2 linked regions of the Macaca mulatta genome follow. The protein of the gene in region 1 interacts with the protein of each later gene in a biochemical or structural test. Links are inferred from orthologs where the notes say so. Each region holds a gene or a part of one and is shown on either strand. Other genes may lie near its edges.

Region 1 (3,659 bases):
TTTAAGAACAATAAGATACCTAAGTGTGCCTGAAGCTCATCGTTGCAGACATTTTTTGTTATCAGTATCTTACCATAGATTTCTGATACAAAGCAGTGACGAATTCAGGAAAAGACAATGTGGGAGGCACAGAAATTGGGGGAGCCAGGACAGCATTGCTCTTTGTATGTCCTTTTATTTAAAGGCATAACAGACAGCAACACCAGAGGTCTGTGTTCATACACACATGTGCTGCTGCTTAGGCTGAACTAAGCAATCACATGGGAAACTATTGTAAACTGATTTCTGGTGTCGCTGTTCCCCCTAGGTGGAGGAGAATGAGATTGAGTGCTGACTTTAAGCCTGGCTGAGAAACATACTGGCATCGATGTCATTAATGAAAGGGTGGATGTTGTTCCCCTGAAAGCCAGTGGCCTTTGACCCCTGAAGCCGCTGTGCCTGAAGGTCAGTTCACACGAGGTATAGGAAGGAGTCTTAACATTTATTTTTTTCTTAAGCCTCACCCAGCCTTTTATTCACACCACCAAGTCTAGGTTAGAATGTATCTGAGCAGTGAAGGGACCAGAATGCATAGTTTTCAAAGGGCAGTTTTTCCCTTACTAAAACCTAAATTCATTTTTTAGACTCTGCTAGCAGTTTTAGATGTAATGTTACAACATGTGTTTTATTCTCCAGGACCTGATTTAAATAAATGTGATAAAAATAGGCTAAGTTTTTTGTCATCCAGGGCTGCTTCCAACTGCAGGCAGATGTGAGAACTCTGCCTCAGGAGCCATTGATTATGCACAAAGTGTATGTGCATGTGTGTTTGCGTATATTAGCTTAATAGATCGCAGTCATTACTGAGTGGCCTATGCAAAGGAATCTTACAATAATTATAACTGTAATGTAAAACATTTGGGGCCTGCTTTATTTCTTGGCTCCAAGCTAAGTGGAAAATTCCTTTTCATGGAATGTGTTGTAGCTCTTGAGACTCCAGCCTTTGGAATAAGAGTAAGTAAATATAAAATCTAATACCCTAACGTTTTCCTTTCATGAACAATTGGCTCATCAACTTTGATTATAGTTGTGTTATGCCATGTTGTATATTATATGAAGTTTATATACTTCATTTGTTCTAGGGTTGGGCAGAAATAAATGTTGGTAATTTTTTTTTTTTCTGTGATTTGCCTAAGCAGTTGGAAAGCCTGCCTGACTTGGGAGACCTGGATTTGCCAGTTTCTAACAGTGAAATTTCTAACCTTGCTTGTATATGTTGTTACAGGAGCTTTATTGCAGAAATGACCATTTATATCAAGCAGCTGGGCAGAAGTAAGTGTTACTGTTACCCAATATTCCAAGTCTTTGTATAGAGAAGGAATCTTCACATTTAAGTCTTGAAATACAGAAGCTGTATTATTGAAAGAGCACGTGATATAAGATAGCATCTAGGGTATATATTAGAATATTAGTAATTATAAAGTAGAGGCAAAGTCTCCCAGTTTGCATGTGAAAACAGACCGTGTTAGTGTAGTATTTCAAAAGTAAGACACAGTGAGATGATTAGGAATCTGCCAGCGTCAAAGAATTTTAAACTTTTTTTTTTTTTTGAAATGGAGTCTTGCTCTGTCGCCCAGGCTAGAGTGCAGTGGCGTGATCTCGGTTCACTGCAAGCTCCGCCTCCCGGGTTCACCCCATTCTCCTGCCTCAGCCTCCCCAGTAGCTGGTACTACAGGCGCCAGTCACCACGCCCAGCTAATTATTTTGTATTTTTTAGTAGGGACAGGGTTTCGTCATGTTAGCCAGATGGTCTCGATCTCCTGACCTTGTGATCCGCCCGCCTCAGCCTCCCAAAGTGCTGGGATTACAGGGGTGAGCCACTGCCCCTGGCCTTAAAACATTTTTTCATTTTTATATATAAAATGAGTTATTTTGAGTGGATGGGTAATACTAAGGGAGAGAGGATAAAGGCGGGCTAACTTATGTCAGCTCACTTATCAAGGTTAATTTGGCTAGTTAGGCAGAAAGATATCTTTGTACCCCTTTGCTTTATATTCATCTCTCCTAAAGCTGAATGATACTGGAGGAGAGGAAACTTTCTATTAATATTTTCTTTAAGGATATGAGTAACTTAGCTTTAGTTTAATGCTGAAGTCAGCAAACTATATCCCTCTGGCCAAATCCAACTTACTGCCTGTTTTTATAAGAACTGTTTTATTGTGTAACATAGCTACACTCATATTTTAGACTTCACAGGTCACACGTTGTTATTTTCGTTTTATTTTTACAAATCCTGAAAACCGTAAAGCCATTCCCAGGCCTGTGGTTTGTCAAACTCTATTGTCAGTAAGTGCTTTCACACATTAAAGGCAGAGTTGAGTAGTTGTGACAAGAGACTCTATGGCCTGCAAAGCCTAAAATATTTATTATTTGACCCTTTATGGAAAAAGTTTCCCAAATCCTGGTCTAGTTAACCACTCTGGACCCAATTACTTTTACTGGTTTATTTTTTACTCTTTGTCTTTTCAAACTATGTTTTCTTCCCCTTTTTTAATGCCCGATGATCTTAACAGTGACAACTTTGTTGAAATAGATTATTTGCTTTCATAATATTGATTTGTATGAGTCCTAGTATCAGCCCGTAACCAAAACAGTTGGTTATTTAGTTGCTAAGCTGTTGGGCAATTTCTTTTGTTTAGCTAGAACCCATGGCATACACTGTATTTGAGAGCTTCTTGTGTACGTAAACCCATAGTTTCTTGTGATGTTTCTTCACTTAGGTGATTTCTTTCTGGTAATCCTGACCTTACATTACAGGGATTTTTGCACGAGAACATGGATCAAATAAGAAACTGGCAGCACAGTCCTGTGCCCTGTCACTTGTCAGACAACTCTACCATCTTGGAGTGGTTGAAGCTTACTCTGGACTTACAAAGAAGAAGGAAGGAGAGACAGTGAGTCTTTAGATTTAATAGACTTGTGAGATAGTGTAGGATTCAATTTAGCTCTTGTTTAGTATTTGGCTAAAGAAGTTTAATTTCAAGGAATCTTACCTCAGGGAATGAAAATGGTCCTGCTAATCATCTCTGTGTCTGGCATAATGTTCATAATAGGCAGTGAGTAAATAACCATTGAAGTAGTTCTTGCACTAAAGGGAACTGACTGTTGGTTTAGGAATATTGTAGACTTAGTATTGACTGTATAGTCTTAGCCCCATTGTAGTAGATTTGAGTAGTGTTGTTATGTGTGATCCTTTTTCCGTAGGTGGAGCCTTACAAAGTAAACCTCTCTCAAGATTTAGAGCATCAACTGCAAAACATCATTCAAGAGCTAAACCTTGAGATTTTGCCCCCGGTAAGCATAAAGCTATTTAGTTCACATTTGTGTAAAACACTCAGTAGACAAGCAAGTCATATTTTTTTTTTCTTATTTTTTAATAGCCTGAAGATCCTTCTGTGCCAGTTGCACTCAACATTGGCAAATTGGCTCAATTTGAACCATCTCAGCGACAAAACCAAGTGGGTGTGGTTCCTTGGTCACCTCCACAATCCAACTGGAATCCTTGGACTAGTAGCAACATTGATGAGGGGCCTCTGGCTTTTGTGAGTGTAATATTGTTTTTGAGATGAGACTCTTGTGTTTTACTCTTGACTATACTTCATTAGTATGTCTAGGTAAAA
Region 2 (2,317 bases), on another chromosome or scaffold:
CAACCCCGAGTCCCGCCCGCCTCTTCGGGCCCTGGCGGCCAATCCGCACGCAGCGCCCCGGGAGCGACGGCGCCAAAGCCCAATGAGCGGCGCGCGCGCGCGCTCTGGCCGCCTCTCTGCAGGGCCCGGCTGCGGCAACCACACTCCGGACGAAGGCCCGGCCCGCGGCCGTCTGCGCAGCGGCTGCGTGGCTCGCACTCAGCCTTCGCTACCTACTCTGCACCCAGCAGCCTACACAAACCTCCGTAGCCCTGGTCCATGTCTTCAACGCGGCCCACCAGCAGCCCCTTTTACTAGGAGACCACAGCACGCATGCGTTCAACGCACCTCCGCCGTCGACTACTGGAAGACTAGGCGCACACGTCACTACTTCCGCGCGCTCCCATTGGCTGGCATTCACGAGGGTCCGCCCTCACCGTCCCAGCTAGCCTTTCGGGCTGCGAAGCTCCACCTCCGCAGCCTGTCGGGAGTTGTGGTCCCGCAGCGGTGCCCGAGGGCCCGGCCCGCGCGAATGCGCGCCCCGCCTCTCGGCCCGCGCCCCGCCCGGCCCGCGCGGCACCGTAACAGAGAAACCGGGAGGTGGGATGGGAAAACTTTATTAGGTTTGGCTTCCAGCTTCGGCCACGCGGGCCCCGCCCGCCCCGAGCTCGGGTCACGGGACGCCCCCGCCGCCCTCCTCGTCGTCCTCAACGTCGAGGCCCGGGATGCCGCGGATCTGGCGTTGCAGCGCCCCTCCCAGCAAGGGCACGGCGCCCTCCTCCTCCTCCTCTGGGGGCGGCGGCGGTGGCGGCGACACGGCGCCGGGGGCTGGCTCTGGGGGCACGGGAGGCTGCACCGGCGCGCCCTCTGCACCCTCCGAGACCCCTGCCGCTTCGCCCTGTGCCCCCTCGTCCAGGGCACCGCCCTCAGCCTCCTCCTCGGGGCTGTCGGTGAAAGGGTTCTCGCCCTGTGGGGAGGGGCGCGGACACTGAAGTGAGGGAGCACAGGCAGGGACTGAGGTGGGGACAAGCCCAGGCCAGGACCAGCGCCTCACCTTCAGGTAGCGCTCCAGCTTCTTGCTGATGAGCTTGTTGTTGAGAATACTGCGGGCCACCATGAGCGAGGACTTCTTGGACTGCTCCATCATGAGCTGCGGGCAGGGCAGAAGGGGCTGGAGAGGCTGCTCTGAGTGCCCTACAAGTTCCCGCCCCGACCCTGCCAGTTTAGAGGGACGCCCCCCTGCCCCTCCACCCACGCTTCCACCCGCTTCCACCCGGAGCGCAGCCCCACCAACGGAGGGCCACTCTACAAGCATGGAACCACAACCTATCTGATCTTTGTTCAAATTCCTTCTCCTTCCACACCACACTTACTGTAGGTAATTAAAAATACAGATCTATAGATCTCTATATATCTTTACGGCTGTATTACAGAAATCTGATTTGCTTACAAAAAAGCTATAAGCAGTGAACAAATTAAGAAACTAAGAGCCAAAGGTGCAACCCATAACAAGGTGCCAACTAGGCTAATAGGCAAGGAGCACTTTGGGACCAACGGGGAGGGTATAAAAGCAGGAACAGATATTTAATCAAACATGTCTTTTTAACCCACAGAATTCCAAGAATGAAGAATTATTCCCAGTCATGCAAGGTTGAAGAGACACTTCTATGCTGCTGGGAGGATCAACTGTTTCCATATTTTTTGGAAAGCAGTTTGACAGAATGTATGAAAAGTAAAAATCTGTTTCATTAATCCCTTCCCAGAACCTATCCTAAATTTAAGAATTGGAAACATACGTGCACACTGATTGTAGTGGTGAAAAATGGGAAAACACCTAAACGTTCCTCAGTGCAGAAAAGGTTAAATAAATTGTACATTCAAAAGAACGTCATGCAGCCCTTCAAATCGGGCTCATCTCTCCAATGGCAAAAGAAAGGTGTATAATATAGTACTGTCTGCAAAGCATGCCAGAGCCATTTTGTCTGGAAGGATTTCCGTCAGTATGCGGGGCCATTTCCTCATGGTGGGAGTACAGGCAAATCTCACTTTGATCATTATAAAAACCGTAAGCTAAAAGGAGGATATTTTTGGCGGGGTGGGAGAGCCCACTGAGTCCCGCCCACTCCATTTACATGTTTCAGAAAGCCTTCTCACTTGCTGCTTCTACTCTCTCCATCTTCATTTTTTTTTTCCTTAGCACGTTTTCTCTACTACTGGAGGAAAATATTAACAGACATCATACATGCTCATAACAAACTAAAGATACACAATTAGGATACTACTATAGACCGTTCCTCAGTGACTCTTTCTCACTTGCCAACACTTTATCCTCCTAGCT

Evidence for each region. The genes of interacting proteins can lie anywhere in the genome.
Region 2: the proteins of DHX9 (region 1) and AKAP8L form a complex in vitro, tested with the Homo sapiens proteins (2 studies listed by BioGRID). The link is inferred for Macaca mulatta from reciprocal best matches to the Homo sapiens genes DHX9 and AKAP8L.

The regions. Positions count from the first base shown.
Region 1 is NC_133406.1:40,318,569-40,322,227, forward strand, and holds part of DHX9 (ATP-dependent RNA helicase A), read left to right. Parts: intron 1-307; exon of another isoform or gene 308-444; intron 445-1,264; coding exon 1,265-1,311; intron 1,312-2,796; coding exon 2,797-2,933; intron 2,934-3,243; coding exon 3,244-3,333; intron 3,334-3,419; coding exon 3,420-3,581; intron 3,582-3,659. UniProt on the Homo sapiens protein: Multifunctional ATP-dependent nucleic acid helicase that unwinds DNA and RNA in a 3' to 5' direction and that plays important roles in many processes, such as DNA replication, transcriptional activation, post-transcriptional RNA regulation, mRNA translation and RNA-mediated gene silencing.
Region 2 is NC_133424.1:15,964,427-15,966,743, forward strand, and holds the end of AKAP8L (A-kinase anchor protein 8-like), read right to left. Parts: intron 1,130-2,317; coding exon 1,034-1,129; intron 947-1,033; coding exon 653-946; 3' UTR 581-652; downstream 1-580. Other genes in the region: AKAP8 (A-kinase anchor protein 8), read right to left, coding at 242-260. UniProt on the Homo sapiens protein: Could play a role in constitutive transport element (CTE)-mediated gene expression by association with DHX9. Increases CTE-dependent nuclear unspliced mRNA export.